Mytilus edulis: one gene and its partner. The protein of the gene in region 2 binds, or shares a complex with, the protein of the main gene of each other region. Links are inferred from orthologs where the notes say so. Each region holds a gene or a part of one and is shown on either strand. Other genes may lie near its edges.

Region 1 (16,158 bases), on a different chromosome or scaffold from region 2:
TAAAAATTGAACTTAAACTGAGTTTAGAGGTAATAAGCATTTCATTAAATTAAGTTGAGACAAACTTAAGTTATGAACGGAAACGAAAAAATTCTTCAATTTTTCCACTTGTAAAAGAGCATTATGTTGGAATAGTAATCAAAATACTTGTAATCACTGAATGGTAAAGATTGCTTTAATTTATCAGTTGGTAGTAAAAGTGAATATTGCATTGTATATTGTATACAGCATTGATTTAAGTTGATTCAACTACTATTCTGGTCAAAGAAAGATAACTCAAATTTTCAAAGAAATTTCATGAGGCATTGGTTTAAGGTGATTCAACAACCATTCTGGACAAAGAAAGATAACTCCAATTTATTGTCTGTAAACTAGAAAAATGCTTCTTTTTAGCCCTTAATTCCTAGACTGTTTGCCCAATAACCATTAAAATAAATCCCAACCTTCTATTTATGGTATTAAACAATGTGGTACAATATCAGAACAATTGAAAAACTAATACACAACTTCTTGTCCTGAAACTAGATAAATGCAGTTTTTGGCCCCTTTGGACCTCTAATTCCTAAACCTTTGGGACCATAACCCCCAAAATCAATCCCAAGCTTCCTTTTGTGGTTATAAACATTGTGTTAAAATTTTATTGATTTCTTTTTACTTATACAAAAGTTAGTATCAGGAAACAATCCGTGTTCGGAAGACGCTGACTATGACACCAATATACAACCAACAAATTTTTTTAAATTTATGCGGTCGTATAATTAAAGCTAGCAAAATTTACCACGACATGATACCAATATACGACCTCAAAAATTTTTGCGGTCGTATAAAAATGCAAACGTATGTAAAAGCACAAACATCCTGCGCCGTATACTCAGTGGTCATACATGTACATGTCATATTTGGGTTGGGGCATTACAAATGTACATTTTACCTTTGATCCTTCAATCCTTAAATTGCTTAATTGTTTTTTGTATGGATCACATTTGTTTTTTAACAGTTATACATTTCAGTTGAGAATAAGTAAACAAGGTTTTCTAAAAATTTTCCGCTTGACAAATTTACTGCGTTACTGCAATAAAGTTTATTGACAGGTTCTAGGAATTACTGTGGGCATCAATTGTGTCCCTTTAATAGCAAGCATGTTCCTGAACTGTTATGAATCACAGTTTCCTGCTGAACTTAGTCACAGATATCTCTGAATCTTTTTCCCCCTGAGAGTCCTTGAAGAAAATCTGGTAATCCTCACTATAATTTCTATTACTAATACCAAAATTGTGTGACTGTCTGTGGTTCACAAAATTTGGTGGTCAAAACCATGGGACCACTAGATATGCTCCAAAGCCTCACAATCATACAGTACTTAACATGCTCAATGTATGCAATTGAAAGATACTGAATAGATACATGTAATGACATTTTCAAAAGGCCCTATTTTTTCCCTTATTTTCTTACATTTTCCAACTCTATTTAAAGTTCCACTAAAGTCAAAATCTAGGACACTTAAAAACAAGAATGTGTCCATAGTACACGGATGCCCCACTCGCACTATCATTTTCTATGTTCAGTGGACCGTGAAATTGGGGTCAACATTATAATTTGGTTTTATAATTAGAAAGATCATATCATAGGGAACATGTGTACTAAGTTTCAAGTTGATGTAACTTTAACTTCATCAAAAACTACCTTGACCAAAAACTTTAACCTGAACTTCGCACTATCATTTTCTATGTTCAGTGGACCATGAAATTGGGGTCAAAACTATAATTTTGCATTAAAATTAGAAAGATCATATCATGGGGAACATGTTTTCTAAGTTTCAAGTTGATTGGACTTCAACTTCTTCAAAAACTACCTTGACCAAAAACTTTAACCTGAAGCGAACGGACGCACAGACGAACAGAGGCACAGACCAGAAAACATAATGCCCCTCTACTATCGTAGGTGGGGCATAAAAATCTGAACTTCGCCTGTATTGTATTTTTCAACCGATAATGAATAAAGTCCTAAACTATGGGAACATATAATCATTTAAATATACTTAACATATACATACTGTGTAAATTGTAAATAAACTTGAAAGTGTTATGTTGTGGCCAAACCGGTTGAAACATATATATGTGACAAAACAACATTAGCTTGTATTGCATTGCATGTAACAGTACCATCCATACCAATTTTTATCAAATAAAGTCTTCTCCCAGGCCTCCAGATATTTTTGAAAAATTTAGTGTTCACCCCAAGAACCAGTTTGGATGTTTGTGAAGTGTCCTATATTTTGACTTTAGTGGAACCTTAAAAAAAAATGGGGAAGGTGTCCATGAGGCACAGATGATGCCCCCACTTGCAAATCATATACAGGTGTAAAGGGACAAAACTGAAGTGACGCTACCCAAATTTGTACTAGATTTAAGTATTGTGTATAAATTCAACAAAAAAATTATATGTCTGTTTAAAGTTACATCATCAAAATAAATAGGGTACATGTAGGTAGGTCTGTTTTTCCATTTAAGGCATTTTATTATTTTTCTTCATTTTATTTTTTGTATTTTCAGTTGTGCGGTCCTTCTTACCGTGGTCCGAGTTGTCCATGGGCCGAGTTTACCCGAATTTTTAATGATTGGATTATTTCCCTTGGTTATTGGTTGGAAAAAAATGGCGGCGAAGTTTTTATTTCAATACACGAGTTGCCAGTTTCCTTAAAACGGCTGTCATATTCACAATTGTGAACAGGCAATTGATTAAATTTATTGGCAACCCTTACTTCGCTTTTGAGACAAGTTCTATTAATTTTTCACTTTACGACTGAAATAAAATGGCTTAGGGTCGGTCGGGTAACCGTAAACAGACATATATTTTTTTTTGGCCTAAAGAGGCATTACTCTAGAATTACATGTATACAGAACAGAACAGAACATATTTTATTTCCAATTAAGGGCCCACAAGGGGCATACAGAGTATACATGAATAAGGCAAAAGAATAATGATTTGCATAGATACATAGATACAAACAATTTTATTTTTTTTACATACAGTTACAATACAATTACTACTTCATATTCACTTTAATAAATTTACCAACAGCATTAAGGACCTGATTGTCTTCACAGTTTAATAAATAAATAAATTTATGCTGATTATCAAGTATAGAAAAATTTGGAATTCTTTGACAAACAAAGTCAAAGAGAGCATCTCTATCTGATTTAAAATTTTCACAGTTAGTTAAAAAATGGATTTCATCTTCAACACAGCCAGAGGAGCATTTTTTGCAAATTCATTCATTTCGTGGAATATTTGAAAAACGACCAACTTCAATTTGAAGCTTATGAGCAGAAATACGTAATTTGCATATAGATCTTCTAAAATCAAAGTTCTTAATTAAAGAAAGATAATTTTCATAACCAAAATTCTGCTTAAATTTCACATAATTAAACAGTTTTCCATCAGAAGCTTTATTTTGGCTAGCATACCAATTGCTAATATATTTAGTGTGAATTAATTTACTAGATATGTTCAAAAATTTATATTGTCCGAAATGTTTTACTTCTTGTTTAATTTCAAAAACTTCTAATACTTTTTTAACAAATGAGAACCAAGAAGTTATGTTAGATTTGTGAAGCTCTTGGCTGCATTTATAAGCATCTTTCAATAGACTGAATTCAGTTGTAAGATTTTCAAATCTATACCAGTATTTTACAATTGACTTTACAATATCATAATGTAAGGGGAAACGTCCCAGTTCTGATAATACAGCAAAATTGACACTCCTTTTGTGTACACCAAGTATAAATTTAGAAAATTTAAGATGGAGATTCTCACACTTAAGATTTTTAAAAATATTTTCAAGATTAAATAAGGAAGACTGTAATTTATTACAAGAGACATTATAACCTCCCCATACCTCTGAATTATATAACAGAATGGGTTTAAGGGTATGATCAAAAATATGAACACAAGATTTTATTCCAGGAGACAAATTGATAAAATCCTTTCTAAGTTTATAGTAGGCCTTAAAGGGATAATTCGCGATTTTTCACTTTTCATCTTATTATGTTCATAATACCATAAAAAACATATTCACCAAGTTTTATTTTGATATGAAATTTAATAAAGAAGAAAATTGGGAATTATTAATTTTATTTTTTGAAACTTCCTGACTTATGTGACGTAGTTTAAGTCTTTGATGCATGCCGGGAGTGAAAATATCTCATTTAAGTCTTGTTCGTTAACCATCTAATAACGCGATTTAAAGCGCATCGACGACTTTTGGTGTAGCTATTAACCAACGAAAAATAAGTGATAGCCATGCAACTTTTAAAATTAGATCGTGTGGATTTTTTAAAACGAATTTTAATAATAAAAGTAAATCATACAATAGAACATTTTTATGATTTTTTTTTTCTAAAAATACTTTAAACAAACATATGAAACTGACATGATCGATAGTGTATTAAAAATACATGTTTGTATTCTGACCTTTTTGCTTCATTCCAGCAATCATTTTCACTTACTTGTACGGTGGAAACAATAAAATGTGTATTGTTTTGTGACACCTAAAGAATGTGGAATGCGTAGTTTAACTCAAGGTAATTAAAAGATTAGCATTATGTAATTCTAATCTTTTGATCATCATTCAGTGAAATCTAGGCGTCACGGTTCACTGGCATTTCAGGTGTGAATAACATTTCGTATCAATTGTAAACGGGAGTCAGACAAAGTTTCAGACACATGAATGTAAAAAAAATTAATTAAAATTAATTAACGGGAATAATAAGATCGCACAATAACTGGATAGCTGTTGTATATTTTTTATATTTTGCACAAGATCACTTTTAATGAATTATGACTTTTGAATACTTTAGTAACGATAAAATACTGAATTATTTTAATTGAAGTATTTATAAATAAAAATAGCCTTCTAAACACGAGTTTATGAACTAAAAATTGTACTATTTCAAATTAGGATCGGCAGCCTTAAATATTTCAAACAGATCATTAACAATTGCAATTATATATTTTAGTCAATCCAAAGTGATCTTTAATTACCTATTTAGGAATTAATGTGCTCATCAAAATATTTTAAATCTCACAACACATGAATACTTCAGATATTTGAAAAAAAATGTTTTAAAAAATTGACAGGAAATAAAGGATCTAATTGGAATGGAATCAACAAATTACGAACAGATATGCTTTTCAAGTGTGAAAAACATCAACAAAATTTATACATAATCGGGAATGTCCTTCTTAAAATACTCTTCGTCTCACTCCGTAACTATATATAATACTTTAGCTATTTGACCAACGATGTTTAAAAAAAAATGAACGAATTAAATGTCATCTTTCCCTATTTTTTAATGTAATTATAAGTCTGTTTCAACTGGCCAGAATACCAGTAAAACGGACAAGCAGTTTATTCTGCAAACTGCTGTCATTGAATATCAAGAGAGAAAATAAATCCCGAAATTGATTTGAAACTTTGATACTCTATAGTTTTCCTGGAAAATATTCACATCCCTCGGTATTAGTGTACTTCCAGTTGCGTATATATATTACATACATGTATATTTTATAAATAAATTTCTTTTCACCAGAAATGTTATTCATAAACAAGCGTATGAGTTTAGTAATATCACTTTCGGACACGCAAGATAGATATGTATATTATACACCTAATAGTTCAAAATGGAAAGTTATAAGTTATCGGCCGTGTACACTTATCAATACACTAAGAAGTGAAACGATGCATGAATTTGCAAACTCGACAGGAAATCGCTTGAATACCTGGACGTGTCACCTCACACCCCCTCCAATACCTTTGGGAGTAATACCTTTAGCCATGCGGGTGATCAGTGGAGCGAAGATCCTAATTTATTTGAATAAAGTTTATTACATAAAAGAATTATGAACTAATTAGATTTTCGAAAACAATTCTAGTTTCACGGAAGACTTATTTATGATTTGAAATTTTGACTTTTTCACTAATTCCTATATTATCAGTCTAAAAATAACAGATCCTGGTTATTTAAAAAAAAAAAAAAAAAAATTTCCGTATCAAGTTAGTTAACTAGTCGGATAAAACAACCGTACGATTGACGAGCTATCGACACGCAATTACGACTACATCGGGTTACTGTAGTTTTGGTCCTTAGACATATCTTGACTGCAAATCGGAGAAGGTGACAAAATGGCCGACCGCAGAGAATTGATACTCTAAATTTAAAATCGATGGTGATCTCTTATCTAGCAGAATAAAACTTTAATATCTATGAATTTGAGAATTTTTATACAGAATAAACATAATATCAATTTTTGATTTTTTTGCGAAGTTTCCCTTTAAGAGCCTTATTATAAAGTTCAGTTTTAGCTAGATGAAAACTTCCAGAAGCAGTAAAGTGAACACCTAAATATTTGTAATGAGCGACACAGTCAATCAAGTTATTCTGCAGTCGAAAATTCTCCTGAATTTTCCTTCCAGCCTTATTAAAAATTATGACTTTAGTCTTTCTAATATTAACTTTCAGGCTACTATATTATCCGCTACGGCACGGGCATTAAAACACTTTGATGCACGTTTCTATATCTATTTATTTGAAATAAATAATCTGAATTTCTTAAGGCTTATAAGTTAGTTTTCTTGTCCCTAAATTAGTCTTCTTGTGCTAGATGAATCTTCTTGATCATGTTGATGTTTCTTGTCGTTTCTGATAGCTTATTAATAAAACCCCAGAAGGCAGCACATATAAATTTATAATTTGAACCTTTTTATATTATACAAAATGTATGATCACAAGTTAAGTAGGGTAAAAGAATATAAAATTATAACAATGAATAAAATTCAACAAATCATTTATACAAATTTGTATTCTATATGATATGATATGAATATTTTTGAATATTGCTGAAAAATATTTCTGAATTTGATAGTATGACTTCATAATCATATACTGTACACATTATTATAACTACGATGGAATAGAATGATGTCTATAAACATAGATGGCTAAATCACAATGGTAGTTTCAATGGAAATATTTCCACCAAGAAGAGAATCGACACCACAGACACGAACAAAGAACCGACTTTACAACACACATAAATCATTAAATTGTGTTTAACGATCATAAATAATTAGAAACCGCGCCAAAGACTAATCCAATACACAAGTAAACTTACCGGTGTCTGTAAATAAAGGTAAATTCTATAATTAGGTCAACAATAATCAAAGCATTTGTTGAGTTGTCGATGGCTTTATTTTCTATGCGCATTCATCTGACGCAAGTCACTTCAACCTTGACCTCAAAAAAAGGTTAAATTTAAAAGTTGTCTCCCATTGAAACTTCCGGCGTCCATAGAAGCGGTTCATTACAAATATTGCTACATTAATTTGCCTAAAAGGTAACATTTAGATTAATATATAACTGTTAGGATTTGAAAATTTTATCAAAATTCAACAGTTTATCGCCGTTTATTCACGTTAAGCACAAACACTTTGCAAATAGATTTTAAACTTTATTTGATTTTTGTTGGGTCTGCATGTTGTAACTTGCACGATTTTTCATTGGCATCTCCTCTTTACCGACTTCACACACAAGCAGATTCGTCCCCTAGCGTCTCCAAATGAGTATTCAATTCGACCATCTATTTGTCCCCCCAAAGTAACACTTTAACAGGATCTCCTGTAGTTGGTGATCGCAATACACCTTATCGCTATTTGTCCGCCATTACTGGACATCACACAGGGTCCCGTAAAATTTTGACGTCATAATTCAAAATATCTGACGCCACAATGGAAAAGTGATTGTTGTATGACGCCAATAGTTCAAGCGGAACAGATTCTCGGGTCAAGCGGAAATAGCGATAAGGTGTATACTGGTATACCAGTATTGTCCACAATACTGGTATAAAAATTTTGTACCAGTATTGTAACTTTTTATTAAAAAAACCAGCAATACTCGTACATTACTGATATACCAGTATTGTAGTTGTATTGTTGACTAGACTATATTGAAGATCAAAGGGATATTAAATGAACTCAAAAAGATTATAGAGGATAATACATACCTGCCAACTTTTGAAAGTGTCCATGGGGGTTTTAGCGCACGACAACAATTTCAAAGGTTACATTAATACTTTGCGACAACTATTTTGAGTGTGCTGTTTTGTGGTCTAGAAAAAGTGTCATATTTGTGAGATGAGCTTACATGCCTTTTTCTTAATTTTATTTGCATGATTCTAGTTATTATATATCAGTAGAAAAGATGAACATGTGGCTGCAAGACCAGGAATTAATTTCATGTGTAAGGATATTAAATAATTGTTTACTTTTCCAATTTAAAATTATGCACAAAGAAGGACCTTTATCAGGTTAGGAACAACACTTAGGGGTAACCCCTCAATGTAAGGACATTAAAACCCACTTTTTAAGTAAAAATGAGCACATATATATTCATATTATTTGAAGAAACTTTTCCCAAAGAACTATACATCTTATGATCTATCTGGTATTATACAGTATGGTCAACACATGTCCAAGAATTTTGATATGTTCTTGGCCTTATATCTTCTATATTTTCAAAATAATTGGACCCTTCATTTAGAAAGTTGTTCTAAATATAATGTCAGAATTTCCCAATTTTAGGTTAAAAAATCTACATTTTATGATTTTTCTATTTTATTTTTTACAAGAGTAAAATGACCCCTTGACTAAGAGAAGTCCCTCATTTAAGAGATTTCCATGTGGGGGGTTTTGTTTTGTCCATGTGAAAAATAAAGAACAGTACATTGTACTTTAAATAATTTGGTAATTTAATTGAATACATAAATTTATAACATTTGTTACAGCAAGTGTAATATCAATAAATTAGTGAATAAACTAGTATTTATTATCTTTATGGTAGTACTGCATCATTGTAGTTTGTCAATCAGTCATGCTTTTATTCTTATTTTGTGTAAAAACTTCCTTGCAGGTGAAAAACCATTTGCCATGTTCACGATTTGAACAAACAGAGGAATACAACACAAGTTCAAAATCTAGGATGTTAGAATATTCTTGAGAGAAAACTTTTTTGATTGGCTGATTAATTTGATCATGAGAAACATAGAATTTGATTGGCTGAACACAATTGTATTCCATTGTACACAGTTCAAAATCGGGAACAGTCATATTTTTCGTGTTGATTTTCACAAAATCGTGTTTTAGAGGGTTTTTCACGATCACGATCGTGCAATCGTGACAAAGGGTCAAAATCGTGTAGTACACGCCTAAATCGTGAAAGTTGGCAGGTATGATAATAATTAATTGTGAAATCAATTAACAACCAGTTAAAAGTCATTACTATACTTGCACAAATAAACAATTGCTAATAATTTCATCATATTTCTATATTTTATATAATTTAATATAGATAAAATAAAATAAAAGCTTATTATCATCTGAGTAATAATTCAAGCAAATCATTAGACTCGAACACTGTAAATTCAGCATTTACATGTATGCCATCACATATTTGACAGATATTTTTATACATGTATACATTTTTTGTCTACTAAGATCATATGCATTTGTTTTTCTTTATTTTCTTATTAATTTTTCACAACAAAAGATAACTATATTATTCATTAATTGTAAAAAGTTGCTTTATAGGGGAACCTTGTTATAATCAAATTTACTAGTTTGTCTACATGAATGTTAAGGGTTGAAGCAGTTGATTCAGAACCATGGACAATACAAATAGTAGCAGATACATGTATATCTACTGGTACAAATACTAGACCAGCATTTTGACAGTAAGAGAGCTGTACAAATGCTATCTGAAATAGCTTGTAATCTAGTAAGCGTTAGAGAAAGTCCACAGAGAGTGAATACCTAAATACCAATATAGGAAGGGGGAGGGGTTACAGAAATCACATCTGAAGAAGAAATAGACAATACCAATGCTAATGATACAGAAGCTATAACAGCATTAATGTCAATATAAAATTCACTAAAATATACTTCATGAATCTTGGAAAGAGAGAGATGAAAGAAAAAATAGAAGAAAGTACAGAGTTTGTTAAAATGCTGAGACAGAATGGTTAAGAAAAAAACATCAGAAGATTTAAAACTTTATTCGGTACCACGATTTCCTGAGAAATACGAAAAAAACATTATATCCTGAGAACAAACTAATGTATCCCGAGAAAAAGATTAGTTATGGTGTTATGCTACTTTTTATACATGTTATAGTGTTAAAGGGAAAATTCACGATTTTTTACTTATAGTTTAAATATGTTCATTATGACATAATATATATATTCACAAAGTTTTATCGCTATATGTGCAGCAATAAAGGAGAAATTCAATAATTAATGAAAAAATATTAACAACTTCCTGTAGGTCGTGACGTTTTCTCCTGGTTTTTGCATGCCGGGATTTAAAATACAATCAATAAAAGTCTTGGTTTTTAATGATATTTTAACGTAATCGTAAGCGCGCCGATGACTTATGCTTCATCTAATAACCAGCCGATAATAAGAAGATAAAACGCACAGACATCCAATGTACATATTCATGAGATAAATTTTCTATGTTAATCGTATATATCCGAATTAATTTTTTAGACAACACAAAAAGTTATAAATTTATTTTTGATTAATGCATTATCGGACTGATAAGGTGAACAAATTAAAGTACAATAATCTGTAAAGACAATATGTTAGTGTACTCTTATTGACCTTTTACTGTCTCTGCTATGACTAGGTTTATACGATGTGTGTATTCACGGTTCTGTGGCAATACTCGTAGATGGCTTGTTTAAAGGTAAATTGTTATTTGCACTTCGGTATTTAACCACGCCTCTAGGGCACACCTTGCCAGGTGTGACTGTCTATTGGGATTAGTGGGTTATAAAACAAGGGAGCATTTAATACACACATTTAAACTACATATTCAAGTTGGTGACAAATGAAAATAGATCGCCGTGGAATTATTTAATTATATTTGGTGCTATTATTTATTTGAATTCAAATAAATTAATTTACTAAGAAATAAACAATTTTCGGTTAAAGACGGGAAACTTAATTCATGTGTCAGAATGAAATGATATACACCTCTTGTCCTTGATTTATGTCTCATAAAAAAGGGGAACTTAGAAATTAGAAATAGCTTTACCAAAGCATTTTGATTGTCTTTATCAGGCCAAAAAATGTACGAGAACACTTACATTTAGACTTTTGAAACCCATGTATTAATTAATATCTGAAACTATCTGAAGACAACTCTACCGAAGCGGAATATAATATGTACGAACAAAGAAAAAATACTTTTGTTTTTAAATCTTTGCACATTAATGATTAATGATTGTTATCTATTGTTCATTTAATTACTTAATTAGTACCTAAAATATGTCTACCGCTTGGCATTTAATCTTGGTGTGGTAGGAAACGATTATTACATATAGATTATATTATTTGGATGAGGATTTGAGCTAGCCTATAAAAACACATTAATTAGTTAACATACATTCGAGACCAAAGGATATTAACTTTGATAATTCAATTAACTTATTCACATATTTTTCTCTTATGATTTGTGCGTGCTTGTTTCTATAGGACAGTGTATATATGGTCCAAAAAATAAAATCATAACTAAAAATATCTTGTTCGGAGAATGATAGTACTAACAGTGGTTCCAGGTCGTCAAGAGAGGTAGCTTTTGACGAGTATGGTCAATTTGGGTACGCACTAGAGCCAGAGTATACCGAAGAACAGCTTTATGAAATGGAAGCTGCAGAAAGTTCCCGAAATCAAGATATCCTTAGCAACCCTCGCCATTTTGGTAAACGGACAGAAAGTCACAGGACAAAAAGTCACAGGACATAAAGTCACAAATTTGATAGGACAAAAAGTCACAGGACAAAAAGTCACAAATAATTTTTTTACAATTTTTTGAATATATAAGAGAAATATCTTGAAATACTTACTTTTTAATACATAATTTCATATTAAAGTCAATGAAATTTATCATTTTACTTGAGAAAAAAAAGATTTATTCAATTTTAATCATGCAAAGGTCATATTTGTTGGCACCATGAAGCCATTTAAGTGCCAATCTACCTCGACATTTTGTTTTCTTAACAATTATTTGATCATCTTTGCTATTTTTTTGATAACTTTTGCTTACAAAGCTGGTTCATATACAATACTTCAAGAAAAATACAAAATTTTTTTTGTAAAAATAAGCATTTTTTATTCAAAGAAAATAATCAGAAAAAATGAATTGTGACTTTTTGTCCGTGACTTTTTGTCTGTGACTTTTTGTCCTGTGACTTTCTGTCCTACATTCGCCATTTTAACCCGACAGATTTGTGTTCGTGTACTAAATGCATAGTTATGCCGTTATTGACAGAATGTCTTTGTTGCCACGAATTTACTCTCTTTGATGGTAATATTGAATTGGGTGAATGCATTAGTGACAATATCGATTTCAGAACAGTTTGCCTGAACCCGGTTGTTCTTGAAACCAGCTATATTCAATTCAAAATATTTTATTGTTCAAGTATCAAATGTACATTTAAACAAAGGGATTGGACAACAGGCAGCTATATAATTTTTTCGAGGTACAAGCGCCATAGAGGGAGAGCTCCAGACGTACTAACTCAGAGCCAAAGCCGACTAATGGCTTATCGTCAGTTTGTTTGTTGGGTCAGAAAAGGACAACCACTTGGCAAGAGAAACAGAGTGACTATTCCAGCTTGTGTTGTTAACATTATTAGGGAAGCATTTCCGTCACAAGATGGTGTTTATGAAGACTTCAAAGAATGTGAAAGTGACACGTCAGACTCAGAATAGTTGTAAAATAGACATATGCTAGATTTGAGGCTCAAAATATTCTTTTGTATATGTATAGATAAAATATATATGTCTGCTTTAATTCTTTCATGTTCACATTTAGTTGAATTATACAATATACTTTTACTATTGTTCACTGTTGAAGGCCATACCGTGACTTATATAGCTGCTTAAGTCCACTTCATTTGGGTACGTGTCTCCCAAGAAAACAAACCACAACTTCTTATTTAATCAAAGGACTCATCTTTTTGCGAAAGTTTGGTATGCAAAAGTAAAAAGTTATAAATGGGTGTCTTGCAATATTGAAGTGATAATCTATTTGTCAGATCTCTTAAATCTTTTGACGAAATCAAACCATCATGGTATATTCTGCTTTTGTATAGACCCGTCACCGAAGTGTACTAAATGATATTCATATTATACATGTTAAATAAATGAACAAATAATAAACCTATCTTTTTATTGTTTTTACGCCCATGTCTGCTCATCGCCAGATATAAAGTTTCTCGCACGAAAAAATGGTATTAATTCCAGTGTCAAAATTTAAAGAACTTATTTTCCATGTTTTCTGGTATTGTACGAAAGAGAATTGACCTAACAAAAGAACTTCTATCTTAGGCTGTTAGTAACACATGTAGAGCAGTGGGTCGTTGTTGGACATATAAATCTTAGAAAGTGTATCATCTGTTAAATTTGCAGGTCACTGAAAGGGGAAGTCCCATAAGGAAGTAGGTGTTGAGAATGATTTTTTTTATATCCAGTGACACATATTACATGCGTATTCTTGAACGTTTGATATATCATTTACTTAATGTTCTCATCAAAATATTCGTTGATTAAATACTGTTGGCATACGTGGACTAGTCTATTTACAAATCTTTGACCCCAATTTACACAAAATGTATGTTTCTTTCTTATGTTCAATGTATATATGTATATATTTTAAATTGCGCTATAGTTCCGTAACTTTCTATCCAGGCGTATAAACGAATCGTCGACAAGTGCGTACATTTTTTAAATCAATATTTCTGGTATGTTCCAATCTGTCCTTTACTATTGACAACGAGTATATATTACATTTTCCCAAATTCACCCTTGGAAAAAATATGTAAATAGATTTTTATTTCTTCAAATCTTTTTTTTGGGGTATTATTTATATTTTATAAATAATATTCTTTACATCAGAAATGTTATTTATATACAAGCGTATGAGTTAAGTTATAACTAGTATATTGTATCACTTTCGGACACGCAAGACAGAGCTGTATATTATAGACCTGATAGTTCAAAATAGAAAGTTATAAGTTATCGGCCGTGTACACTGACCAATACCTACAGAAGTGAAACGATGCATGAACTTGCAAGCCCGACAGGAAATCGCTTGAATACCTGGACGTGTCACCTCACAATACCTTTGGGAGTAATACCTTTAGCCATGCTGGTGATCAGATGAGCGAAGATCCGAATTTATTTGAATAAAGTTTATTACTTTAAAGAATTATGAACGAATTAGATTTTCGAAAACAATTTTCACGGAACACTTATTTAAGAGTTTAACTTCGACTTTTTCACTAATTCCAATATTAACAGTTTAAAAATAACAGACTATGGTTATTTAAAAAAAATGAGAACATTTTCCGTATCAAATTAGTTAGTCAGATAAAACAATCGTACGATTGACAAGATATCGACACGCAATTACGACTACATCGGTTACTGTAGTTTTGGTCCTTTGTGGTTTATAGACATATCGTGATTATTGATCGTAGAAGATGACAAAATGGCGGAACGCAGAGAATTGATACTCAAAATTTAAAATCGATGGTGATCTCTTATCTAGCGGAATAAAACTTTAATATCTATAAATTTGAGAATTTTTATACAGAATGGACATAATATCAATTTTTGATTTTTTTGCGAAGTTTCCCTTTAAGTTGCAGGCATGATTTCTTGGTAGATTCTGACAAATAATAAAGTATAAATTTGCATTTTTATTTGGTCCTGTCATTATCACGTTTTCTAAAGATTCTTGAAAAAAATCTATTTTTTTTCCTTAAATTTACATATCAAATGATTTGAGATTAATCCTTTGAGAAATGAAAAAATTTTTGCATTTTTAATTTGGTCCTGTCTTTCGGTCATTTCATTCGGTCCAGTCATAATAAGTGTAACCCATTTTCACACAAGACATAAATGTACATGTACATATATATAAAAATCGATTTTCTGAAGATTGCGTGTATTTTTTTAATTATGAACGCCTTAAACCTTATTATTGTATACTGTAACACTAATTTAAGCAGTATAACATCTATAACACCATTAAAAATCTTTTTCTCTGGATATATCAGTTTGTTTTTGGGATATTACGTTTTTCTCGTAAATCTCAGGAAATCGTGGTACCCAACTTTATTTGATGACAATCACAGTGTACCATCTATGGCATCATCAGTTAAACACAATAATTCCTAATAAAATTGTCATGTCATACAAAATGTATGTTAATATCATTATGCATATATGTGACACCTTTAATAAAAGATTAATTACCTATATTGTTTATTTAAAAAAAAGCACAATACTGGAATACAATACTGGTACAAAATTTTTATACCAGTATTGTGGACAATACTGGTATACCAGTATTGCGATCACCAACTACAGGAGATCCCTTTAACACAACATACCTTTTAATAGAATAATAATAACAAATTAACATACATGTATGTCCTTTTCTCATGGGTTTTCATGGTATTAACTTAAGAATGCATTGTGATGACACAATTTCCATTGAAAAAGCATGCATAGTTGGAATTTGTATTTACATTCTAATATTCGACTAGACATTCTGCAACTAATTATTAATCCATTCCACTATGATAATTGTTTTAAAGTGTTAAAATTAATCAATATAGATAAATACATGCAGATAACATTGTCTCCAGTTGTTTCGAATAATATACCGTGTATTCCTTGTTAAGATCTAAAGACAAAGTATTTTTTTGGTAGCAGTGAATTATCAATAAAATTTTCAACAAACTTTAACATTCTCTTTTCAAATAATAAGCATTTAACAACAAGACAACAAAATAAAATTAATGAAAGTAATTAAAATTATTTTCATTGGGCTAGCAGCAGCTATTTTTGGGCAATTATACTCAATTGCATGAGTTTTGTAGTATGAAAAAGACTTTGACATTAACAGGACTATGTCTATGAGCAGCCAGACTTGACATTTGAATTGAATTGACAATTAAAAACATAATAAAAGAAAATAATGCTTATTCTGAAATGAAATTAATGGAATAAACAATTTATCACTCAACACTG
Region 2 (16,342 bases):
AAACTAGGAGAATGGAAACCATTTTGGGATGCTGTGGATTCATTTATTTTCGTGGGTACCAATTTTCGTAGATGGTAGAAAACTTGCCTTTTCACGAATATGCAATTTTGTGGTTTTGCCAACGTCTGCATACAACCTGATAGAAAATTTGTAATTTGTTGAACATTTAAATTTGCGATTAACCTGTACCTATGAAAACCACCAAAACTTGGTATCCAAAGAATAATAATGAATCCACAGTATATGGATGAACGCATTGTTCTCCCCAGGATTTTTTTAAGGCGCAAAATTCAAGGGCGCGTACCTCCTTTTTAAAGTGAACTTTTGTGATCTGAATCAATCAGTCATAAATCACAACATGCAATATTGCTTTGTGTTGTGTGTTTAATAATGCAGAGTATTAATGAATTTACACAAGAATATACTATATATGAAATAAATTGATTTTAAACACAAAAGTTATTTATATTCAGTCAATTAAAGAATGTAAATATTCATCTCTGTACTCTATGCTACTTCTAGGGATATTATTTCAAGATAGTGTTATTTTGTTGGACAGTCTGTTCCTCAACGTTGTCTTAATCCTCTTCAGGGTTGAAAACCCCCTCTCATAATAACTTTTGCTTATACCCCCCTTAAGCCAAGAAAACTCAGTCAGCCACTTGTCACAGAAACCAGAAACATGGTGCTTGCTGTTATCACTTGCTAAAACTTTAGCTCAGTTGGGAATAGGAGAAGCAATTATAACATCTGCTTATACTGACAGCTGAGTGTAGAGGGAGGTGTATTCCCCTTTCCATTAGAAGTCATTGATCTGAAAAAAAACCTTCTACTTCCATCATGTCTTTTGCTTAGAATTCACCCTTTGTTATTTGCAGAGAACATGTTCATTCAGAATTAACAAGAATGTGTCCAAAGTACACGGATGCCCCACTCGCACTATCATTTTCCATGTTCAATGGACCGTGAAAATGGGTAAAAAATATAATTAGGCATTAAAATTAAAAAGATCATATCATAGGGAACATTTGTACTAAGTTTCAAGTTGATAGGACTTCAACTTCATCAAAAACTACCTTGACCAAAAACTTTAACCTGAAACTCGCACTTTCATTTTCTATGTTCAGTGGACCGTGAATTCAAAAGTTTAATTTGTCTTTAAAATTTGAAAGATCATATCATAAGGAACATATGTACTAAGTTTCAAGTTGATTGGACTTCAGCTTCATCAAAAACTACCTTGACCAAAAACTTTAACCTGAAGTTGGACAGACGGACGAACGGACGAACAGACGGACGAACGGACGAACAGACGGACGGACGAACGGACGCACAGACCAGAAAACATAATGCCCCGCTACTATCGTAGGTGGGGCATAATAAAATCGAATATGGTTAAGATAGTTGGTATACAACTTTTTAAAACAAAAATATGTTAATGAACAGCTGACAAGTTTCCATAGTTTGACATTTATTTACGCTTCCGTGTGCATTATTGTTAAAACCTATCTTTGGCAGGTAGATATAAACCAAACCTCCTTAAAGTTAAGACCATTGGAATTATTTACTAGTCACATTATACAGAAGACCGACGATTCCGTACCCGTGTTGATTGTCACATAAAATGTTCCCAACGCACGGACTCATGATCGATGTTCAATGAACATTTTATTCCTAAAAATATGACAGTTTGAAACGAATTTACCTTGTAAGCAACATTTTTCACTTTCAATTAAAATAAATCACTTCTCGTTATCTTTAATCAAAGTTTATTTTAATTTTTTCAACTACAAATACTCTCATTCATAATTTTCATCGTACATATCTTTAGCAATGTGTATTCAAATCTATCACGTGTTTAAATAGATTCTTCTTCTCGACCAATGAAAAAATTTGTCATATAAATTGTCAAGTAATCACACACACGATGCTTAAATACAATGTATTTGCGATCGATTTCTTCAATTTCTGCACTGAAGTTTTTAATTTTTTTTAATTTTCTTCTGAAAATATCTATCTTCTTGATGATCATTTACGCTATTACATGATAACATAGTCCGATAAGGCTGAGATAAGCATGGCTCAGGTAAAACTATTATAAGTTATATAGTTCGCTACTGACCCCATACGGATCCATAGAGGGTTAGTAAAATCCATAGGGGGTGAGGCCGGAGGCCGAGTCCCCTATGAATTTTATTCACCCTCTATGGATCCGTAGGGGGTCAGTAGTTGACCGTATAACGAATTTATCAGATGCTGGACTTTTTCTGCGGCGTTTTGTTGAAAAATAAACAATGAAACACAACAACATTAATAGATGACGTCGCCATAAACGCGTCATGAACAGTCTGCACCAAAAACTTTTTCAACTACTAGTCCGAAGACCAATATTCTGACATTTTTCTTATTGGACCAAACAAAGTTTTGCAAAAACTTACTAGTCCGAACCAAATTTTACTAGTCTGGGGCATCGGACTAGTGGCTAACCGTGCAGACTGCATGAACCCCATATGAAACTTACTAACCCCATACGGTCTCATAGGGGGTCACCACGTGACGACATTTAACCAATCACAACGTGATAATTCATCTGTGGTCCGATAAATTATCAGATATTGCGTAACACTGACCGACCTCTCAGCAGTGATCAACAACTGGACAATTTTAACAAACTTTAATGAAAATGTGAAAATTAACACGCTGCGGGATCAAGTAGTAAGGGACAGCGGCCAATTAAGACGTTGCGGGATTAACGAAAATATTATGAAGGTGCTGCAGCACCGCAGCGTCATATCGGCCTGGGGAGAACACTGGAAAGTACAATGAATAGACAGACAAGGGTAAAACTTAATGCCCAATCCACTACAACAGGGGCATAAAAAGTAGAATGAATCATTGTGAGATCCGTTTCTACGAAACATGGATAATTGCTACAGCAGAAACTTTTGAGTAGCATCTTAGAACAGAATGATATGCTACATTAAAAAATTTAAAATTTCTTGTTTTTCATAATTTATCTTGTATAAAATTGACAATGGAAATGGGAAATGTGTCAAAGAGACAACAACCACCATGGAGCAGACAACAACCAAGCCAAAAGGCCACCAATGGGTCTTAATGCAGCGAGAATCTTCCGCACCGGGAGGTGTCCTTCAACTGGCCCCTCAAGAAATATGTATACTAGTTCAGTGTATGCTTGCATTGTATCAAGAAAATTTAACTGAAAATACAGTGATGACAAGCATGAGTTTTTACCGCAAAGATGACAATCCTAGGATGTCACTCACTTCACCTGGAGTTGCAACCCCTGATCATAATGTTTTGTTTGATTGAATTCATTGACATACATAATCACTGGGGTAAAGCTGATGACTGTAACTGCATTTACGGTCATCCCAAGATGTCGGATGAAAAATTAGGTCAGTATCTGTATTGTCTGTTACAGTGTTTCTATATCATTTTCTTTACAAAGTATACATTGATACGATGTAAATTTATAAAAGATTCAAACAGAAATCACAAATTACTACCGAAAAATGTTCAGGAAACGCAAAATTCAATTTGAAAAAATCGCTAAGATGTCCGTAAATCATTATCAAAATATTTTCAAGATGACCGTAACATAAAACAAGGATGACCGTGATTGGTAAACAGATGACCGTAACTTGTAAAAGATGACCGTAATTTGTAAAGATTGACAGTAATTAATAAAGGATGATCGTAACTTTTAAATGATGACCCTCAATTTTAAGAATATCCGTATTTGTATTCATAGCTTTTTGTTGTGTTTGTCTCAATAGGGGCTTAGGTAGCGGATATAAACATGTTTCATCAATTTGTTTGTAACTGTTTGCCGTATTTTGAGTTCATGACAATGATAGTAAATTGCAAATTTCTCGTTAACAATGAAATATTAATTTATTGCCGATGATAACGACTTTAAAATTTTAATACAAATTGACAGAGATACGACGAAAAGTCGAAGAAACAAGAATGTGTCCCTCTGAAGTGTCTCTAGTACATGCCTCATCTACACTATAATTTTCTATGTTCAGTGGACCGTTAAAATGGGGAAAAAAACTGTAGTTTGGCATTATGATTAGAAAGATCATATCATAGAAAACATGTGTACTAAGTTTCAAGTTGATTGGACCTCAACGTCATCAAAAACCTCCTCGACCAAAAAAAAACTTTAACCTGAGGCGGGACAGACGGACGAACGAGCAGACGAACGGACGAACAAACGAAACGGACGCACAGACCAGAAAACATAATGCCCATGAATGGAGCATAAAAAACACTAATCAAACATACGAATATACGGCAGTGTATGGTAATCGAGCCTGAGGAAGCAGATTAAAATCTTAGTTTGTCTTAATATATATATGAATAACATGAATAACATTGCTGTATATACAAATTGACAAGGTTCCCCTCAGTGTAGGATCCAAAAGGGGGTCCCTTTTTATTTACCGATCAGTGCATTTGAATGGGGACACATAGTTTGAACCCCCTTTACCCTGGGTTGGGACCCCCCTTTTTTTTAAATGGCTACATCCGACCGCCCCAGCCCCTTGTGATACGCTATACGCATAAGACTATTTTAAGGATCTACTTTGCTGGAGCTCGCCTTCACTAGTTTGGTCGTAGTATTTTAAAAACAGGTTCTGTTATTTTACTTGCAAGACAAAATAGAAGACAAATCAAAGACGATATAATATCAATGGCTGTAGTCTACATCCATTGGCATTTTTAAAAAGTGCATTTATTATATGTCATTACAAGGAATTCCAGAAATAAAAAAAAAACCTTTTGGCTTTTAGTTAGAGGCTGTGCAGGACACTTTTTTTTTTTTATTATACTTGTTAGGTGTCATTTAATCGCGCTTTTGTTGCATGTTTTCCCCACTTTTTCATGTGCATGTTTTGTTGTATGTTCATTTTAAAAATTATACCCTCTACCGTAAAAAAAGATATATATGGTGAACTCTGTATTTAAAGCACGTCTTATTTTCTCCTACCTATAGGATAATACTCTCATATAAATATGATTTATATCAACACCATTAATCATTTGATACAAAAAAAGTAGTCATACAAATACGGATATTTCTTAGAATTGACGATCATCCTTTAAAAGTTACGGTCATCATTTAGAAATTACGGTCATCCTTTACAAATTACGGTCATCTTTTAACCAATTACGGTCACCCTTGTTTTGAATTGCTGATTCTGTTACGGTCATCTCGATTGTGATTTACGGTCATCTTAGCGATTTTTTTAAATCGAATTTCCCGTTTCATGCACATTTCTCGGAAGTAATTTGTGATTTCCGTGTGAATCTTTTATAAATTTACATCGAATCAATGTCTCCTTTGTAAAGAAAATGATATAGAAACACTGTAACAGACAATACAGATACTGACCTAATTTTTCATCCGACATCTTGGGATGACCGTGAATGCAGTTACGGTCATCAGCTTTACCCCAGTGATAATAAAACATTGTTATCAAGTGAAGGGTTTTACAACTTCAACAATCATCCTTTTACACAAGATTTACCAGCAAAAAAATTGTCAATTGAGGGAAAATCATTTGCCATTTGAAAAATCTTAGCAGAGCAGTATATATACATGTATTCACACAAATAAAATTTACATAATAGTCAAATCAAAAAGATGCACAGAAGATTATTTTAATTAAAAATGAATTTAACACAAGCAACAAACTCTTAAAATATCGGAAAACAAAACTACCAGAACAAAGTCTCAGAAAATTATGAATCTTGTTAAAGTCTTATATAAAAATCAATAATATTTTAATGCATGAAATATCAAATTCCATAAAATTACTCATGCATACAGAAAGGTAAACAATTTCAAAGCATCTGTCAATAATAGATTTACTTTCATTTTCTTGGATGTCATTCAACAATTTAGGGGATTTCCAACATCTATGCTTTTATTATCTACACAAATGAAAATAGATTATCCCAGGACTGAGATTAATTGATTGCTTTATGGTCTTCCCAGCCAATCAGACAAAGGTCACAACAGTCTTGCCTCCAAATTCAAAATTGATTTTTCATTCATGTGATAAAAATGCATGACCAATAAATCCTGGTAATAATGAATGCAATATTTCTTTCTATTTATGTTTTTTATAATTGAGTATAGCTTATCAATAACCGCTTGGAAGAAAAAGTAATTATGAAACTAGATTGATAAGATTATTTACAACTCTGGCGGGCAATACAAACATGATCAATAGATTAGTGTCACATGGCAGTTAATGACTTCCTTTAGTCAAAGTGAAAGTAGATAAATACAACTTACCTGACCCCTATAGGGAGTCCCTGGACCTTGTGGAAAACTGGCTGGTTGTCTATTTCCAGTCCAACCTTGCTGCATGTTATATGGTGTCCCTTGCGCTGTCATTTCGGGTGCCACTTTCTGGTGATATTCACCATAATTATTTCCCTGCATCCTCCCCGGTGTGTTTGGTGTCTGCAGAAGCTGATTTAGTGTTGGTGTTGGTCCAGACTGCTGTGAAATGCTTTGTCCTGACAACATTGATCTTTGTCCTTGTGGATAGGATTGTGGCATTCCTGGACCACCTGGGCCCATTTGTGGCCTCATAGGCATCATGTTCGGTTTGCCTGGATGTCCACTCTTCATTCCAGGCTGCATATACTGAGCCTGAAAAGTATTTTGATTAATAATTTCTGAACTTCCTGCCATTCCGCCATGTTGATCGCCTGGGTTAAAGTTTTCACGATTATACGGATTGTACCCTTGCATTTGCCCTGGATGCATCATTGGGTTCATTCTTCCGTAGTTGTCAACCCCCATCATCTGTTCCCTAGATGATGGAGGATAGTTATTCATATCAACGTTCATGTTAGGCCCTTCAATTTGATTAAAATATTCGCCTTGTTCATTGCTCATGTTTTGTTGGCCTCCATCTTGAAACGAGTCCATTGTGTTTCCCCGTAAATTCTTCGGAGATTTAAGCTTTTTGCTCTTGACTTGTCTAGTATGCCCTTTACCAGGGCCAGCATTTTCCATACTTCACTTACCGAAAAGTTCCTGACCCTCCGGTCGACTCCAGTTGCTTCAGTTTCCTGTCTTTGTTGTATACACAGAAGAGTTTCTTCAGCATAATTCTATTTACCCACCCTTCTAGAGCGAGAAATTGACCGTGACACCTATGAATAATCAACTCACATGTTTCGGGATACTTTTCTTGAATTGCGGTGCGTCCTAATATTGTCAATAAACACGCATGTATCGAACTGAGGCAGATTGCAATAGGGTAAATCTTAGTCAGATGGCAGCATGGTCTTATCAAACAGTGTATTATGTTGTTCTCTTCAATAAGCGGGAATATCGGAAGAGAATAGCGATTCATACGCCTCTATAGGGATCGTGAAAATATTGGTTATGGGTGCTATGTATACTTTAAAAACAATAACAATCATTTCCTGTGTCAAAATATACAATTTGAACACGGAGCATGACTTCTATCAAATTCGGGAATTCTTTTGCGTAAATTGTCCACTGAGCGCAGATATACTAATATTGAGTTGTGAAGCGTCCGAGGCATTTCTTTTCAACACGGCTTGTTCAATTAGCTAATCGTTTCACCTCCCACGTATTGTTTCAAAAAAGTGACAATTTCATAATGGAATGGCTTGATTTTGCATCAAATGTAATTCAAATCCGAATTCAAAATTCAAATAACATCTTTAAAGATTTATTCGAAGCGTTTCTATGGCGTATATATTGTAGAAAACAAAAATTTGACCTTTACTCTGGGGAGATGAACAGAAGAGCATTTGATTGCCTGAAGGCTTTCTATTGACGTCAATCAGACGGGAAAATCTGATATTATTGAGCATGCAAATGTATCTGTTTTCATTTTTTCCTTGACAGTATTGGTGCATAGATCGCATGTAGCAGTTTATTGACTTTGAAAATTTCAAACTAAAGTTAAAATAACGAAGATAAAGTAAAATGTCAGAATTTTCGAACAAAGAATAATTGGTGCAATTTTAGGAGATAAAATCCTATTTGCAATATTTAACCAGGCTGTTCCCGTTATAAAACGTCCACCCTCTGAAATTCTCAAAAATTATTTTGCACGGGAAATAACTCTAGGAAAAATATGTGATCTACCACATGAGAATCATATGACGCTAAGATTTTCTGCCAAAAAATATTGGTTGTATTTAAAAATATTTTTATGAAAAAAGTAAATTAACTCAAATATGTATTCTGGCCAAACGAGAAAAAAACCTCGTATGTAGACATATGTGGTTTAATGTTCAGAATTTAAACAAATTTTGTAAAATTGTAACTGGCTTGTAAATGCAGTTGTAGTGCATACTGGAACCTGCATGTGAATTTGAAATTTAAAAAAAGACTGAAAGACTTTTTTTAAAACTCGACCAACCTTCTGAAAAAAATTGATAGGACAGGAATCAGTATATTAAAATTAATTTCTTCCAATTGAAAGAACTAGTCCAGCTATAAAACATAATTTGGCATTGCATTGAAATATAAGTTGTCATCGAAAAACTTGAAGAACTTGAGAAATCTATTTACTGCATCGGTTCGTGGACACAAGCCTAAACCCTACAAAATGTCATACTTAGAGGAGATTTCAATCTGCCACATCTCAACTAGCAAACAACCCGAATAACCCACAGAATGAAGAAGCTAATCATAATTAAATCTCATATAACTACGACATGAACCAAATAGTAAGTAAACCAACTAAAGGACAAAACACACTAAACCTACTCATGACAACCAATCCACTGAGGACTTATTAGTAAAATCGAAGTAGCAAAGATATGAAAGCCAAACTTCATCAAAAAGAAACCCAGTGTACCTTTTTAAAAAGACCGCTATGATTGGACCCAAAGAAAACTTCCTAGACAATTTTGGGAACTGAATTAACAGCATGGAAGAATACACTGTAGAAGAAAACTGGACATACTTCAAAGAGATCATGTTACAAGCAACTATTTGTATATATAAATAATTCATCATGGGCCTTGGCCCACATATAACTCGGTATAGGTAGAAAACAACATGTGATTTAGATCTCTACACATATCAAAAGACAGACACGAAGCAGACAGCGTAGATACAGTGCTGCTAAAACACAACACCAAGAAAACAAAATGACACAAGTACAAACAGATGAGAGACTTTGTCAAGAAGAGATGAACGAGGCCCACGACAATTATGTTCGATAAATCCTAAATCAAGAGGACGAAGATAACACTTAACCAAACATTGGCAAGAAATTCTGGAAATATATAAAATCAAGCAAAAAGACACAATGGGAATATCATCCCTCCAGAACAACCTCGGAGATCATGACAGCAAAGGAAAACAGAAATATTGAACACTCAATATGATGGTGTCTTCACGACAGAGGATACAAAAAATATACCACATATGGGAACCAGTACAACTCCAAACAATAGGAAGTAACATATCAGATCGGAAAGAGTTGAGAAAAAGTTTAACTTTGACTAATAGACCCAACAAAAGCAAACAGTCTAGATGAACTACCAATCAGAAGCACACTGCGAAATTGCACCGTTCATCACACAAAATTCTATGAACCGTCTTATGACAGTGAAAATGTTTCTGAAGATTTGCGACAAACAAACAAACGCAACCGTTCCTCACACAAAAGTATATGAACCGTCCTATGACAGGGGAAATGTTTCTGGAGATTGGCGACAAACAAATACAACTGTTCATCACACAAAATTCTATGAACCGTCCTATGACAGTGAAAATGTTTCTGAAGATTGACGACAAACAAACACAACCGTTCCCCAAACAAAATTATATGAACAGTCCTATGACAGTGGAAAGTTTCTAAAGATTGTCGACAGGCAAACATCACAGCCATTGACAAACAGGGGAACAGAAGTCAAGCAGTAAACTACCGTCCCGTATCGTTAACCACAATATGTTGTAAATTCATGGAACACATAATCTATATGCACATCATGGAACATCTTGAAGAACATCAAATCTTATCCTACTTCCAACACGGATTCAGACATAACCGATCATGTTAAACCCAACTTATTAACACATAGTAACAGTTGTAAGAGAACTGGACCATCGAGGACAAATAGCATGCTTATTCTTGATTTCTCAAAATCGTTCGATACATTCCCCAACAAAGACTTCTGAAAAAAATGTCACACTAGTGAATAATATATAACACTCTACAATAGATTTCGTCATGGCTAACTCAGCGACACCAGAGAGTATGTCTAGATGGAGAAGCCAGTGAGAACAAATCCGAGTACGATCCGGATTTCTACAGGTCCGGTATTGGAACCACTTTGTTTCCTAATATACACCAACGATAAGACAGAAACAATGTCATTACATCAACCCTCCCTCACCCTCCGTCTCTTTGCTGACGACTTGCTACTACTAATATATAGATCCATTAAAGGTATCGAGGACAACTTACAACTACAACAAGATCTGACAGAACTGACTAAACGGGTGGAGCGGTGGCAAATGACATTCTACCCAGCTATTAAAATGCTACACACTGAGGGTAACAAGAAAAAAAAACCAAACGATAAAAGAGTATGAAATGATGGGACAACAACTATCCACAGTTCACCAATATCCATACCTCGGAGTCGAATTATCAGAAGATCTCAGTTGGGATTCACACATTAAGAACGTTATCACAAAATCCAACCGAGTATTAGGATTCCTAAGACACAAACATCTGGAAGTGTCTACAAGATATCAAAGCGCAGGCATATACATCGCTAGTGCGCCCACATCTTAAATTAAGTACGCCTCTGCAGTATGGGATCCATATCGCGGAATACATCACATTGACTCCCTTGATATGAAAAAAAAGATGACCGACTGCCAGATTTGCGACATCAACATACAGTACCAGGGATAGTTACAAACATCCTGAAAACCCTAGAATGACAAACGCTATAATTTAGACGGAAATCAAGTAGATTGAGCATGTTTTACAAAGCCACACATGGAAAGGCGGCAGTCAACATACCAACATACACGAGAATAAAATTGAGAATGAAAATGAAGAAGGTGTCAAAGGGACAACAACCCGACCATAGAGCAGACAACAGCCGACGTCCACCATGCGATGGGTCTTCAATGCAGCGAGAAACCCCCGCTTCGGAGGCGTCCTTCACCTGGCCCCTAAAAAAATATGTATACTAGTTCAGTGATAATGGACGTCATACTCAACTCCGAATTATACACAAGAAACTAAAATTAATAAGCATACAAGACTAACAAAGGCAAGAGGCTCCTGACTTGGGACAGGCGCAAAAAATGCGGCGGGGTTAAACATGTTTTTTTTTTAGATCTCAAGACCATCTACCTCAATAAAACAATACCATCTAGAACAATTCACTCATATCAGTACCTCCACAGATGCCTACAAATACAGCTATATACAACGCACCATCATCGACTGGCTCTGCCTCTCTGTAATGTGTCAAAGAGCAACTTCTGAAACTGCAGCTGTAAACAGAAACCACCTGTTACTATCCAATTTTAAATGAACTTGTAAATACTTAGCACGCAGGTTAACGTTTAAACAGCAGTATCTGTGTTATGTTTTAAACTGCCGATCAATAGTATAGATGTAGATGTTAAATAAAAAAACAATACTCTAAGTATACAACAAAAAATGATCTTAGATTAATAACAAGATACCGATGATGATTAAGTTAAAACATTTTGTAAAGTTCGGAGGATGTCTTCTTCAAAAACAATCTGCATTACTATGGGAACCAACTGTGCTATACTCGTCTTGCCACTGTTTGCTCTCATTCATTTGTGATAGACTTCTTATTTCAGGTCAGGAAAAATGGTTAGAAGCTAACATTTTCCTTTCACTTCACGTTCCGCTGCATTTATTATGATGTCCTGAGCGCTGACTGTATCGTTCAAAAGGTTAATGACGGTTGGCTGACCAATCTATCACAAGATCCAGTTAATAAGCCACTCTAAAATACTTACTTGTGTATATGACAATACGGGTTGATGGACATTACTACAAAAGGACTTTATAACTCTCCCCCTATACATCTAGTCAATGTAGAAAAACCCTACACACACAGCAATACGCGCAGTAAAACTCAGTTTAAAAGAAGTCCGAGTATGGCCGAAATGACTTTACAAAGTATGGCCGAGCTGGCAGTACGGCCGATATGATTTTACAAAAGTATGGCCGAACTGGCATATCAGAAACGATTTTTACAAAAGTATGGCCGAACTGTCAGAATAGTCGAAACGACTTTACAAAAGTATGGCCAAACGGCGGTATAGCCGAAACACTTTGTATGACCGATCTGACGGTATTACCGAAACGACTTTACAAAGTATGGCCGATCTGACGGTATTGCCGAAACGACTTTACAAAGTGTTATATACTAAAATTTTGTCTTTGGCAATTCATAATTTTACTATAACAAGTATGGCCGATCTGACGGTATTGCCGAAACTTTACAAAGTACAACATGTTTTTTTTTTAGATCTCAACTCTCCCCCTATACATCTAGTCAATGTAGAAAAACCCTACACACACAGCAATACGCGCAGTAAAACTCAGTTTAAAAGAAGTCCGAGTATGGCCGAAATGACTTTACAAAGTATGGCCGAGCTGGCAGTACGGCCGATATGATTTTACAAAAGTATGGCCGAACTGGCATATCAGAAACGATTTTTAGAAAAGTATGGCCGAACTGGCAGTATAGTCGAAACGACTTTACAAAAGTATGGCCAAACTGGCGGTATAGCTGAAACACTTTGTATGACCGATCTGACGGTATTACCGAAACGACTTTACAAAGTATGGCCAATCTGACGGTATTGCCGAAACTTTACAAAGTACAACATGTTTTTTTTTAGATCTCAACTCTCCCCCTATACATCTAGCCAATGTAGAAAAACCCTACACACACAGCAATACGCACAGTAAAACTCAGTTTAAAGAAGTCCGAGTATGGCCGAAATGACTTTACAAAGTATGGCCGAGCTGGCAGTACGGCCGATAAGATTTTACAAAAGTATGACCGAACTGGCATATCAGAAACGATTTTTACAAAAGTATGGCCGAACTGGCAGTATAGTCGAAACGACTTTACAAAAGTATGGCCAAACTGGCGGTATAGCCGAAACACTTTGTATGACCGATCTGGCGGTATTACCGAAACGACTTTACAAAGTATGGCCGATCTGACGGTATTGGCGAAACGACTTTACAAAGTGTTATATACTAAAATTTTGTCTTTGGCAATTCATAATTTTACTATAACAAGTATGGCCGATCTGACGGTATTGCCGAAACTTTACAAAGTACAACATGTTTTTTTTTTTTTAGATCTCAACTCCCCCCCCCCCTACACATCTAGCCAATGTAGAAACCCTAAACACACAGCAATACGCGCAGTAAAACTCAGTTTAAAAGAAGTCCGAGTATGGCCGAACTGGCATATCAGAAACGATTTTTACAAAAGTATGGCCGAACTGGCAGTATAGTCGAAACGACTTTACAAAAGTATGGCCAAACTGGCGGTATAGCCGAAACACTCTGTATGGCCGATCTGACGGTATTGCCGAAACGACTTTACAAAGTGTTACATACTAAAATTTTGTCTTTGGCAATTCATAATTTCACTATAACAAGTATGGCCGATCTGACGGTATTGCCGAAACTGTACAAAGTACAACATGTTTTTTTTTTTTAGATCTCAACCATCCCCCTATCTAGTCTATGTAGAAAAAAAACCACACACACAGCAATACGCGCAGTAAAACTTAGTTAAAAAGAAGTCCGAGTATGGCAGAAATGACTTTACAAAAGTATGGCCGAACTGGAATATCAGAAACGATTTTTACAAAAGTATGGCCGAACTGGTAGTATAGCCGAAACGACTTTACAAAAGTATAGCCAAACTGGCGGTATAGCCGAAACTCTTTACAAAGTATGATCGATCTGACGGTATTGCCGAAACGACTTTACAAAGTATAGCCGATCTGACGGTATTACAAAAACGACTTTACAAAGTATGGCCGATCTGACGGTATTGCCGAAACGACTTTACAAAGTGTTACATACTAAAATTTTGTCTTTGGCAATTCATAATTTCACTATAACAAGTATGGCCGATCTGACGGTATTGCCGAAACTGTACAAAGTACAACATGTTTTTTTTTTAGATCTCAACCATCCCCCTATCTAGTCTATGTAGAAAAAAACCACACACACAGCAATAAGCGCAGTAAAACTTAGTTAAAAAGAAGTCCGAGTATGGCAGAAATGACTTTACAAAAGTATGGCCGAACTGGAATATCAGAAACGATTTTTACAAAAGTATGGCCGAACTGGTAGTATAGCCGAAACGACTTTACAAAAGTATAGCCAAACTGGCGGTATAGCCGAAACTCTTTACAAAGTATGATCGATCTGACGGTATTGCCGAAACGACTTTACAAAGTATAGCCGATCTGACGGTATTACCGAAACGACTTTACAAAGTATGGCCGATCTGACGGTATTGCCGAAACGACTTTACAAAGTGTTATATACTAAAATTTTGTCTTTGGCAATTCATAATTTTACTATAACAAGTATGGCCGATCTGACGGTATTGCCGAAACTTTACAAAGTACAACATGTTTTTTTTTTAATATCTCAACTCTCCCCCTATACATCTAGCCAATGTAGAAAAACCCTACACACACAGCAATACGCACAGTAAAACTCAGTTTAAAGAAGTCCGAGTATGGCCGAAATGACTTTACAAAGTATGGCCGAGCTGGCAGTACGGCCGATATGATTTTACAAAAGTATGACCGAACTGGCATATCAGAAACGATTTTTACAAAAGTATGGCCGAACTGGCAGTATAGTCGAGACGACTTTACAAAAGTATGGCCAAACTGGCGGTATAGCCGAAACACTTTGTATGACCGATCTGGCGGTATTACCGAAACGACTTTACAAAGTATGGCCGATCTGACGGTATTGCCGAAACGACTTTACAAACGGTGTTATATACTAAAATTTTGTCTTTGGCAATTCATAATTTTACTATAACAAGTATGGCCGATCTGACGATATTGCCGAAACTTTACAAAGTGAAACATGGTTTTTTTTAGATCTCAACTCTCCCCCAATACATCTAGCCAATGTAGAAAAACCCTACACACACAGCAATACGCGCAGTAAAACTCAGTTTAAAAGAAGTCCGAGTATGGCCGAAATGACTTTACAAAGTATGGCCGAGCTGGCAGTACGGCCGATATGATTTTATGGTAAGTATGGCCGAACTGGCATATCAGAAACGATTTTTACAAAAGTATGGCCGAACTGGCAGTATAGTCGAAACGACTTTACAAAAGTATGGCCAAACTGGCGGTATAGCCGAAACACTTTGTATGGCCGATCTGACGGTATTGCCGAAACTTTACAAAGTACAACATGTTTTTTTTTTAGATCTCAACCATCCCCCTATCTAGTCTATGTAGAAAAAAAAACCACACACACAGCAATACGCGCAGTAAAACTTAGTTTAAAAGAAGTCCGAGTATGGCAGAAATGACTTTACAAAAGTATGGCCGAACTGGAATATCAGAAACGATTTTTACAAAAGTATGGCCGAACTGGTAGTATAGCGAAACGACTTTACAAAAGTATGGCCAAACTGGCGGTATAGCCGAAACTCTTTACAAAGTATGATCGATCTGACGGTATTGCCGAAACGACTTAAATTTACAAAGTATAGCCGATCTGACGGTATTGCCGAAACGACTTTAAAAAGTATGGCCGATATGACAGTATTGTCGAAACGACTTTACAAAGTGTTATATACTAAAATTTTGTCTTTGACAATTCATAATTTTACTATAACGGAGCTTGTTTATTTTATCCATGCCCATCGTCATTTTGCACCAAATTTATGAAATTTTGGAAGTCGTTTCGAATAATTCTCTAGAAAATATTTCAATAGGTTTCAAAATTCATATTGTAAATATACACACTGCAGTTATTCATACATAAATACAAAATATATTGTACCCTTACATCCAATCACAGCGCTCCTAATTTGACTTCCTTCACCTACCTTGGGTACACAAAAGGCCAACCTATAATGATGGGGAAATTTAATACTACCGTTTTCCCTATATGTGACTGTCCTCTACAAATAGATTTAAAAAAAAAATGTTGAGTAAATATTCCCCTAGGACTGAAGGTGGCACGGTAGTATTTGCATTCCAGAATTTAGGTACTTA

What was found.
Region 1: trithorax group protein osa-like (region 2) and probable global transcription activator SNF2L2 share a complex: the UniProt entries of both Drosophila melanogaster proteins name them as parts of the brahma complex. The link is inferred for Mytilus edulis from reciprocal best matches to the Drosophila melanogaster genes osa and brm.

The regions. Positions count from the first base shown.
Region 1 is NC_092344.1:5,664,244-5,680,401, reverse strand, and holds the start of probable global transcription activator SNF2L2, read right to left. Parts: upstream 7,295-16,158; 5' UTR 7,174-7,294; intron 1-7,173. UniProt on the Drosophila melanogaster protein: Transcriptional regulator. Acts as a coactivator, assisting one or more dedicated transcriptional activators of ANTC and BXC homeotic gene clusters. Can counteract the repressive effect of Polycomb protein.
Region 2 is NC_092353.1:43,280,865-43,297,206, forward strand, and holds the start of trithorax group protein osa-like, read right to left. Parts: upstream 7,417-16,342; 5' UTR 7,067-7,416; coding exon 6,335-7,066; intron 1-6,334. UniProt on the Drosophila melanogaster protein: Trithorax group (trxG) protein required for embryonic segmentation, development of the notum and wing margin, and photoreceptor differentiation. Required for the activation of genes such as Antp, Ubx and Eve.